Xenopus tropicalis: one gene and its partners. The protein of the gene in region 2 purifies or fractionates together with the protein of the main gene of each other region. This does not show direct contact. Links are inferred from orthologs where the notes say so. Each region holds a gene or a part of one and is shown on either strand. Other genes may lie near its edges. The genes, in order: sf3b6, sf3b3 and u2af2.

Region 1 (3,754 bases), on a different chromosome or scaffold from region 2:
ACAACTTCTGGAACAGTTCAGAAACACCAGAGCAACACACGGAGCAGACACTGCATTTTTGGAAACTTCCTTAGAATTAGATTTCCTTTTATAGGGCAAAATGACAATTATAGGCTTTGGAAAACATTACATCATTATATTATTCGGCAGAAAACCATGGTCCAGGGAACAAGCAATCACTATATACGTAATAACATATATAGGAAGCCATATTTGCATTGGACACTCAGCACTGTAGGATAGGAACCAATCAGCAGCTAGGCTGACCCGACAGGGAATTGAAGCCTGTCTTTGCTTGTGTGACTGCAAGGCTGTGATTGGCTATCCCCCATTTACTGTGCTTCTGGCAGGGACCTTTAGGACATGCCCACCCCTCATTTGAAACACAGACAGGGACCTGAGAGGATCTATAGGGAGCTCCAATAAAGGTGCCAATTTTTACAGATAGGATTATTTTTTAACAAAGTGAAACCAGCACCAGATATTATTCATAATTGCCCCCAAGATTAGAGTTTTTTTCATCTATCCAATATGTCTTCTTTAAGAATGAGTCTACAATGCTAAACAACTGTTCAGTTGAAAAACAAACCTTTTCCATCCGGTTATGTTTGTCACTGTAATATTCGCAGAAAAAGGATTACTTACACCCTGATCTGTCGAATGGGTCCATATTTGCCAAATATATCGTACATTTCCTCCCCAGTAATTTTATAGGGCAAGTTTCGAATGTATAAAATTCTGTTTACTTCTGGTGGTAAGCGTATCTGTAAAACAGAAGGGAAGGAGTTGTATTAATATCAGTTAGTGTGACATTTACACACACAGGATAAAGCACTAATGATATAAAAACATGCACAAATAAATCACAGAGCAAAGCAGCATCAGACAAGTCACGGAATAAAAAAGTATCTCTTAAGAAGTTATTGCCCACAAACAGCATAAATCAGAAACTATCACTAAGACAATACAGTTCTCAGTGGGTGCACACAGGCAACGAGACAGTGGCCCTCAGGCTGGGCCCCCTTAGCCCATAACAAGGTTACAGATATATAGAAACATTGGGGTAACAGTCACCCCGCTATAGTTCCAGGGGTACCCAGGGCACAAATAAGCACTCACCCCAAATCCCCCCCTAACTGGCCTTCAGGCTGGGCCCCCTTAGCCCATAACAAGGTTACAGATATATAGAAACATTGGGGTAACAGTCACCCTGCTATAGTTCCAGGGGTACCCAGGGCACAAATAAGCACTCACCCCAAATCCCCCCCTAACTGGCCTTCAGGCTGGGCCCCCTTAGCCCATAACAAGGTTACAGATATATAGAAACATTGGGGTAACAGTCACCCTGCTATAGTTCCAGGGGTACCCAGGGCACAAATAAGCACTCACCCCAAATCCCCCCCTAACTGGCCTTCAGGCTGGGCCCCCTTAGCCCATAACAAGGTTACAGATATATAGAAACATTGGGGTAATAGTCACCCTGCTATAGTTCCAGGGGTACCCAGGGCACAAATAAGCACTCACCCCAAATCCCCCCCTAACTGGCCTTCAGGCTGGGCCCCCTTAGCCCATAACAAGGTTACAGATATATAGAAACATTGGGGTAATAGTCACCCTGCTATAGTTCCAGGGGTACCCAGGGCACAAATAAGCACTCACCCCAAATCCCCCCCTAACTGGCCTTCAGGCTGGGCCCCCTTAGCCCATAACAAGGTTACAGATATATAGAAACATTGGGGTAACAGTCACCCTGCTATAGTTCCAGGGGTACCCAGGGCACAAATAAGCACTCACCCCAAATCCCCCCCTAACTGGCCTTCAGGCTGGGCCCCCTTAGCCCATAACAAGGTTACAGATATATAGAAACATTGGGGTAACAGTCACCCTGCTATAGTTCCAGGGGTACCCAGGGCACAAATAAGCACTCACCCCAAATCCCCCCCTAACTGGCCTTCAGGCTGGGCCCCCTTAGCCCATAACAAGGTTACAGATATATAGAAACATTGGGGTAATAGTCACCCTGCTATAGTTCCAGGGGTACCCAGGGCACAAATAAGCACTCACCCCAAATCCCCCCCTAACTGGCCTTCAGGCTGGGCCCCCTTAGCCCATAACAAGGTTACAGATATATAGAAACATTGGGGTAACAGTCACCCCGCTATAGTTCCAGGGGTACCCAGGGCACAAATAAGCACTCACCCCAAATCTCCCCCTAACTGGCCTTCAGGCTGGGCCCCCTTAGCCCATAACAAGGTTACAGATATATAGAAACATTGGGGTAACACACATAGTAAAGTCACGGCTGAAGGGAAAGCTGCGGTAGAACTAACCCCACAGAGCCAATCGCAGCACAGCCCGCAGTACACAGAACAAGCGCTGCGGTATCCGGGGTAGAAGCAGCAGTACCCCATAGCCCTTATGAGCAGAGCATGATAGCCGTATCGGGGCGCCCCACAAACCCCCAAAGCCTGACACTCACATTGGCGCGTTTGGCCGCTTGCATAGCCATGGTGCCGCTGAATAAGAAACCTTTCCCAGACGCGATAAAAACAATCCGCTTTCCAACACCACACGCACAAACCGGAACAGGAAGTCTGAGTGTGACGTAATGGCAACTTCTCTTACTGAGATAGGCTGATTCGTCCTCCTGAAGTCACGTGTCCTTTGGTAGTTACAGCGCTGGCGCACTGTAGCACTGTAGAGCGCCCTCTGGGGGCAGCAAGTGGACGCACACACAGCTCCCCATGCACAGTTTCAGCTTCCAATTTACACCCCTGACATCACCCAATCCCGATTGATATATAAACGAGGCTTGATCAGATAATGATTGGAGCAGGGGATATTCTATTAAGCTGGAGACCTGATCATAAGTGGCCAAGTAACCGGCCAGTATCTGCCCATGTGGGCCCTTATAGTCTGGCATAAATGATGGGGTTTCTCTTTGAGGCAGAGGAACACCTCTCTCATTTAGCAGAAACTTGTCTCCATGCCCAGACTGGGATTCAAATAGGTCTGGAATTTAAAGTCCACAGAGGCCCAAACAGCCCCCCCAGCCCAATAAATAGTGACTATGGCATCTTATAGCAGCCCCTCTGGCATTTGCCTGAACCCACAGATGTGTCACTATGTTACTTTAATAATGTGTGTAGTGCCCTTCTTTCTCCCCAACACTCCCTGTAGTTCAGGGATCCTCAATAACCCAGAACTTTTGGAAATGACCCTTTTTCTCCATACCTGGTATCCAAATGCAAATCTGCACAGCAGGGCCAAGGGACACCATTTTTGGCTCCTTCACTTCCCTGGCAGTGATTGCTGGGCAGGAGCTTGCACTTTAGAAGCCAGTCTGTTCCTTGTTTCCAATGTGTATGCTCTTACTAAATGCCTAAGCAAGTAGTAGCCTAAACCAGGCTCACCCAATCTTTGTTTTCATTTTATAACTGGTAGTAGACAGAATTAACTAATTCCTGATTATGGGCAACTGCACTGATGTTATTAAATAAGCCTTACAATCTGCCTGCTTGGTGCACTTTTTCTGCTATAACCTGCTGTATAAAGTATGTGCAATACTTTACTTATGGCAAAGCTGTAATGCAGCCTTGTGAAGTCCATAAGGTGGCGCCGTTGTCTCCACAACACTGAATCTTGAATCCAGCAAGGTAAGTTTGAGTATGTTGTTGTGTTCTAATCACAGAGACATCTATTTTGAATGCTAAAAGACCTATGGAATGAACCCCCAGATAATTCCCTTTCTTGC
Region 2 (3,654 bases):
TTTTCCGGTGTATGTTTATTAATAAAACCATTAATAGCAAAATTTCTGAAGATGGCCAGCTACAATGCTTTTGCAGTTAAATATCCTGTTTCGTTAGAGCCAAGATTAGAACTAAAGTATATGCATGTTTACAAAAAGGGTATAATATGTGAAGAACAAACCTTTAGGCCATACTTTAAAGAGTTTCATAGGTGAAAAGAACTAAATGAAATAACTAAACTGAATAACTGAAATTGCAATAGGAAGAACATCTGGATTGAGCATGGGCTGTGCACCTCTGAAACATTAGAATCTGTTGGAATAATGTAATTTATATGTTTTTGGCAGTTTAATGTGTCTGTGCATCAGTCATCCTGCATGTACAACAGGACGTTTTAAGACAAATTAGAAATTTTAATGTGTTCCTATTTTTGGATTGACACTAATACTTATTTTAATTTTTTCTTACAGCTTTGTGTTTGATATCCTTCTGTGTGAATCTCACCTCCTTATTTCATCATGTTTCTTTACAATATTACCCTGCAGAGGGCAACAGGCATCAGCTTTGCCATTCATGGCAACTTTTCAGGTGAGTTTGGGATGAGCAAAAAGTATTGGAGTAGCCTGAATAAACCCTGTTACCGTTTAATAGCATGAAATATGTATATGTGTATGTATGTATATATATATATATATATATATATATATATATATATATATATATATTATAATGTGTGTGAGCTGGCAGTTTGCTTGATGTTTTAAAATGATTATGAAAGTAACAGAACTGAGGGAACTGCCTATATAAAAAAAAAATTTCTCATGGTTTCCTATCTGTTAATATATTTACATTTTATTTTGCCAGTTTATGTATTAATTTTAAAAGGTAATAAAAGCTGAAATCATGCTGTTGATTAAAAGTTAACTTTTTTTTTTTCCTTTTTTTAATCTGTCATATTTGCCAAACAGGAACTAAATTGCAGGAAATTGTGGTTTCACGTGGGAAAATTATAGAGTTGCTTCGACCTGATGCAAATACTGGCAAAGTGCATACGCTTCTGACTGTGGAGGTGTTTGGTGTTATACGCTCTCTTATGGCATTCCGTTTGACTGGTGGTACAAAGGATTATATTGTAGTAGGCAGTGACTCAGGGCGCATTATCATCCTGGAGTACCATCCTTCTAAGAACATGTTTGAAAAGATCCACCAAGAAACCTTTGGAAAGAGTGGGTGTCGGAGAATTGTGCCTGGTCAGTTTATTGCTGTGGATCCCAAAGGCAGAGCTGTAATGATAAGTATGTTTTAATTGTTTTTTTCTTTTTTGTATTAACATAATTGTAATTCAATTTTATATACAGAACAAAATGATGAGCTTTCATGTCTCTTCTCTGACATAGACAGTGGAGAAAATGAATAACTCTGACACTTGGCTATATGTTTGATACTATTAAACTATGTTTTGAATTTGATTGCATATTTCTGTGCAGTCTAACTGTTACACCTATTGTACCACACAAACAATATCTTGTGTCGATGCTATATAACAAATAAAGGAATGCTAATGCAAGCTGAATGTAGATTTTCTTGTTCTTTATAAAGCGTGAAGCATATTATTTCTTTATAGAAAACAAGCATTTGTTAATTACATGAAGCATGCTACCATTCTGCTGGTATGTGTACTTTAGTCTATTATAAAACAGGGTTGACAACTTTGCTATAAAATATGTTAGATTGTTCAGGACAGGAGGTAACATTCATATACAGTGTGTTTCTAAATTTGTTTACATTTATGCCAATGTAGTATTTGTGTAATTAAAGAAAATGTCATTCCAAGCAGTTTTTCAGTGTAAAATTAAAAATGTAACTTACTGTATATACTCGAGTATAAGCCTAGTTTTTCAGCACCTAAAATGTGCTGAAAAAGTCACCCTCGGCTTATACTCGAGTCGGGTGCCATGGGTCCCTCCAGACTAGCACCCTCTGTCCTCTGTGCAAATTAGGCCACCTGCAACCAGACCCTCCAGTGCCCTGGCCCTCTCCCAAATTCATCTTCATCTACCATCCTCACCTGTCCTATTCTGCACTAGACATTGCACTTTATATTCTATATAAACTATATAGTTTTGAAGGATTTTACCTCTTTGTGTTTTTAGCTTTGTTGCTGATTGAACTAAGAGGGTAGTACTCTTTAAGTTATCATTGTTGATACCATATTGTTTTTGTTGACCCTCTTCTTCACTCACAGAGCTAGTTTACTGTTTTTGTTTAAAATAAATATTTAAAAACATATACCCCATTGATGCCTCATTTAATGTAATTTTATTGGTATTTATTTTGATTATTGAAACTTAGCAGTAGCTGCTGCATTTCCCACCCTATACTCGAGTCAAAAAGTTTTTCAAGTTTTCTTAGGTAAAATTAGGTACCTCGGTGTGTTTGCTACAGTAACACTACTATAATTTATATAATAAGCTGCTGTGTAGCCATGGGGGCAAGCCATTCAAGCTGGAAAAAAGGCACAGGTTACATTGCAGATAACAGATAAGTTCTGTATTGTACAATAGTGTTTTATCTGTTATCTGCTATGTGCCTGTGCCTTTTCTCCTTTGAATGGCTTTCTGAAGTAACACACAACTTTTACCAGTGCAGGGCAGCAGCACATTACGTTTTAGTTACTTTTATACACTTTCATTTCTCTCACAATAGCTTGGGGGACACAGGGACAGTGGGTATAGCTCCACCTGCAGGAGGCAGGACACTAGGAAGGTAATAAAAAAAAAAGAATGCTCCTCCCTCTCCAGCTATACCCCACAGCGCAGCCAACTGAAGCTCAGTTTTTTCTCCTAGTGTTAGGAGGTAGGACCAGGCTTAGTCTGCCTGCATCTAGGTTCAGAAAGTCCAGGATTAGCCTGGACACCTGGGGGGGGCTGATCTAGACCTCAAGCAGTAGGTCCTATTCACATCCTCCCCCCACCGCTGGATTCCCCTTGGGGCCACTAAGTCGCTTCGGCGCGGGCCATCTGGCAACATTCCTACCCTCTCTGAGGGATAGACGGCTAGCCAAGGGAGCGCTCAGTCCTGATCCGGGCTGCACGGGTAAGTAAGCGCCTCCCTTTCTACCAGGACAGGAGCGGCGCTGGCGGGACTTCCAGGTTCCCCCCTCCCAACCGGCCAACCGGGTATACTAACCCGAAGCGCCGGGGGCCCTCACTTCCGCATTTAAAAATGGGCGCGCTCAGCCTTACGCGCTCATTGGCTAATACTTCCTGCTCGCGCCCTCCGTCATTGCCGCCAGCCCTCCTGTGCTTCCTTTCGCGCCTTCCGCTCTACATCGTGGCGCAGCTCCGGGGGAGAACCAGCATTGCCGGCTTGCGACTCTCTCTCTGACAGCGGGTATTGCTCGGCCTGTAGGTAGGCTTCCACCCTCTCTCTCCCCTCTTTAGTACAACCTGCAGCGCAGTCTTCCTGGGGCATTTTTAGGCAAATATGGCGGAGGGCAGCAAACAGCAGTTGTTCCCCCGGGGCCCAGCCTCTTTGGCTAATATAAAGTTCCTGGCCTGTGCCAAATGCAAGAAGCGTCTGCCCACTGGGCACAATGAGCCTGTTTGTGAGGCATGCAGGCCCTCTGTAACAGCCTTAGCAGCTTCTCAGCCAATGGCCTTGGACTCTGCTCA
Region 3 (3,654 bases), on a different chromosome or scaffold from region 2:
AGCTTGTGATTTGTGGAATAATTTTCTGCAACATTCCTCTGGTATCTTTAGAAAGGGACAAGGAAAATCGTCATCGAAAACGTAGTCACAGCCGTTCTAGAAGCCGAGACCGGAAGCGCCGCAGCCGTAGCAGAGACAGGCGAGGTAGAGAGCAGCGAAGTGGATCCAGGGATCGAAGGCGACGCAGGTAAAACTTGTAGATGTCTCTTAAACTATTGTGTAAATATGCTAACCCTTGCATGACTTAAATCTTCCCTTTTTTTTTTTTTTTTTGTCCAGTCGCTCACCAAGACATGAGAAGAAAAAGAAGATCCGTAAATACTGGGATGTTCCACCTCCTGGTTTTGAGCATATCACCCCTATGCAGTATAAAGCCATGCAAGGTAATTTGTTTTTAACATTTAGTTAATACTCATCTTTTTACTTTAGCTTTTGAAAGCTTTAAGGGTCATAATACAGCGTTGCTATTTAAATGAGTAACTAATATTTTTTTGTTTGAAAGGTATGTTTTATTACTGCAAAATAAAAGCTCTTTGCTTAACAAGGATTCTGTGCATTTATTTTGGAGCCTTCTGGATAATCTTGCATGTAATATATTTGAAATGTGAATTCTGATTGAATGTACAGTTTTTGTGCTTATCGCAGTATCTGCTTTATCATTTGTGTTATGTCTGTGTTTGGAAGTTAAAAGGAAACTGATTATCAGGGGCAGCTTCTTCTACACAATTATTGATGTAGCCTAAGTGCCATTGTGTTGGAAAAATGAATGTTAGACCATGAAGAGATACCCCTAGAGTACAAAAAGGGAATAGCATCAAAGGAGAAAGTTGTAAGTCCGCCCCTTGCATTAGGCCATACTCTTAAACAGGCAGTGAAATTTTGGGCTCCGGTTCACAAGTTACATTGTGAAACTACACTGAGCACAGAGAAGAGGTGAATATAAAAGGTAAGTGCAATATTTTGCTTTACAGAAAAGCTGTCCAGCTTGGATTCATTTTTATTGCACAAGGGGTTCTTCACATAGACTTCCCTTGTGGGGTAAAACAGCATATCATTCGACGGGAGTAAAAGGAGGACAATATCAGCTGTTTTGCTTCCCCTTTATAATTTTCTAACTTGAGTTTCCCAGCCAAAAGTTTTACACCACATTACCTATACGTTCAAAAGCAGAAAATATGAATTTACAGTGAGTACTAAACCTTCACATATTTGTAAGCTTGAGTATGGTATTGTCTGTCTTGTTTAGATATATTTTTTCTGGTTTTAAATTAACTGTACAATTGACTGTCACATGTCACTATTAATTTGTACACTTGCAGACCATTTATATTTCGCGTAACTTTTTTATCTTTTCCTCAGCTGCGGGTCAGATTCCAGCTACTGCTCTCCTTCCAACAATGACACCAGATGGCTTGGCAGTTACTCCTACTCCTGTGCCTGTTGTGGGTAGTCAGATGACAAGACAGGCCCGTCGACTCTATGTTGGAAATATTCCATTTGGAATCACTGAGGTATTTGCTATAGCCATTCTATTTCCTAGCTATAGTAAAGTATTGAGGTTGAGAAATGGCAGCACCAAAACATTTTTCAGCATTTCTTCAACATTTTATTTACCACTTAATGAAGGTATTCTTTGCCCCTTAGGTTAATAAGTATTTCATAGCTTGAAACATTCTCTTATCTCAGTTTCTTTTGTTATTGGTCTCAAGCTATCCGTATTGGTGGCACTAACAATTTTCCTGCATACAGCTCTTAAGCAGGGACCTGAATTTTGGGCTCTCAGACAAGTGCTCAGTAAGTCCCTGACAGGCGAGGATTTCAAATATACAGTCTGTAAATTTTTTAAATATGATTTGTTTGAATATTCGTTGTTCTGAATAGTTGTAGTTGGGCTTTTACTCAGTGCCCTATCATGGGTAAATATACATTGCCGTAGGTTGTTTCTGCAAGAGAACTGTGCCATCTCAGATACCCTTTTTTTTTTTTTTTTTTTTTTGTCCATCCTGGTACCAGCATTGATAGCTACCTTTGAATTATTACATAAGCAATCCATTGCTTTCTCTTTATACTACCACCCTTATTTTCATTTAAGCTGTATGAGTTTGGTTAAGTCACTCTTTATTTAGGGCCATTGTTAAACAGGCGTTATGTCATTGGAGTACTAGGTATAGATAGGTAGTGCAAAATAAAAAATGTTTCTGATAGCCAAAAATGTAATCAATAAAGGCTGGAGTTGGGAGGATGTTGAACATATCCGAAAACTACTTCCTCCTTGGCAGCTCTCTAACCTCTTAGTGACTTGGAGGGGCACATAAGACAACTGTTCAGTTACTTTGCTTTTGATCCTTAGCAATCTAAAGGAACAGTTATATCCCATATTCCCCCAAGTTACTGATTACAAACTTGTAACAGATAAGAGAACTGCAAAGGAGGAAGTTAGTGTTCTGGCAATTATGTAGACTTTATTTTTGACTATATTGAAAAGTTTTATTTTGCACAGCCTATCTATTTCCCCAGTTTAATTTTTACTGTAAACCGTTTAAAACCCTTCCTACATTTGGTCTTTTGGTTTCTGATCTTTAAGGGATATCAATGGTAAAAATCCTCCAGCCACCACATCCCTAATCCTGCAAAATCCTGAATGAAGTCCTTATTGCTTAATGTATTTCAATTGTTTGCCAGAAAGCCCACATACAAATAAGCATTATTTGGTGTAAAGTGTGTAAATGATGTGGCCAGTTAAATGCATATCCTTGTGTATCATTTGCTTAGTCAGTGGGCAAACCTTATTTATCTCTTCTCAGGCAGTAATACAATATTTGTCCTTAGCAGTTGGGGACTTACTGAGAAACATGTTTGAGACCCAGTGTCTGAGGCAATTGTAACATTAATACATTTTAAATAAAAATGGACCGTTACAAAGCAGTTACATTGAGTTCTGTTAAATAGTATTCTTAATCTAGTTGACACAGGTAAGGTATTTGGCAGCTGCTTTAAGCACGCTATAATGGCTTTATAACTGGTCTTTCGGTGTTATGGAGAAAAACTTACAGGTGGGTTTTTTCAAAACTTGGTGTCCCTTCTCCATGGTGTTTAAATGATTTGTTTCACATTTGATCATGTGACACATTGCTAAACCCTACATTTCTAATCTATAAAATGGGTATCGCATTTTTGCTTTTTTTTTTTTTTTTTATTCGGAACTGGTACTATGGCCCTGCACTCTAATGGAGTTTGTCTCAAACTTTTTTCCAAATTTTCCAGCAGTTAGCATGGTTTTTGCAGAAATGGCTGCTTTTGTTGAATTACAACAATAAACAACTTTGATTTAAAAGAAACCTTTTCTATTTGAAAAACAAGATCAAAGAGTTGTTTCCATTTCTTTTTAAAGTGAAAATTGTGGGGCTGAAATCCCTTCGTAGCAAAATAAGTTTGCTACCATCGTGCAAGGCAAGTAGGACATTCTAGATCTTAAACATGCTCTTTGTTGCTATTAACAGGGATATCAGACCACTTATATTTCTCTCCTCTTTTTACCTTGCAGGAAGCAATGATGGATTTCTTTAATGCCCAGATGCGCCTTGGTGGATTGACTCAAGCGCCTGGAAATCCTGTACTGGCTGTTCAGATCAATCAAGACAAAAACTTTGCCTT

Evidence for each region.
Region 1: the proteins of sf3b3 (region 2) and sf3b6 fractionate together in Homo sapiens (co-fractionation; 5 studies listed by BioGRID and IntAct, with this or other methods). This does not show direct contact. The link is inferred for Xenopus tropicalis from reciprocal best matches to the Homo sapiens genes SF3B3 and SF3B6.
Region 3: the proteins of sf3b3 (region 2) and u2af2 purify together in Homo sapiens (affinity purification with mass spectrometry; 4 studies listed by BioGRID and IntAct, with this or other methods). This does not show direct contact. The link is inferred for Xenopus tropicalis from reciprocal best matches to the Homo sapiens genes SF3B3 and U2AF2.

What each region holds. Positions count from the first base shown.
Region 1 is NC_030681.2:145,722,220-145,725,973, forward strand, and holds the start of sf3b6 (splicing factor 3B subunit 6), read right to left. Parts: upstream 2,527-3,754; 5' UTR 2,510-2,526; coding exon 2,480-2,509; intron 765-2,479; coding exon 646-764; intron 1-645.
Region 2 is NC_030680.2:75,031,296-75,034,949, forward strand, and holds part of sf3b3 (splicing factor 3B subunit 3), read left to right. Parts: intron 1-450; 5' UTR 451-498; coding exon 499-568; intron 569-948; coding exon 949-1,275; intron 1,276-3,654. UniProt on the Homo sapiens protein: Component of the 17S U2 SnRNP complex of the spliceosome, a large ribonucleoprotein complex that removes introns from transcribed pre-mRNAs.
Region 3 is NC_030683.2:104,046,084-104,049,737, forward strand, and holds part of u2af2 (splicing factor U2AF 65 kDa subunit), read left to right. Parts: intron 1-51; coding exon 52-187; intron 188-279; coding exon 280-383; intron 384-1,359; coding exon 1,360-1,511; intron 1,512-3,544; coding exon 3,545-3,654. UniProt on the Homo sapiens protein: Plays a role in pre-mRNA splicing and 3'-end processing. By recruiting PRPF19 and the PRP19C/Prp19 complex/NTC/Nineteen complex to the RNA polymerase II C-terminal domain (CTD), and thereby pre-mRNA, may couple transcription to splicing.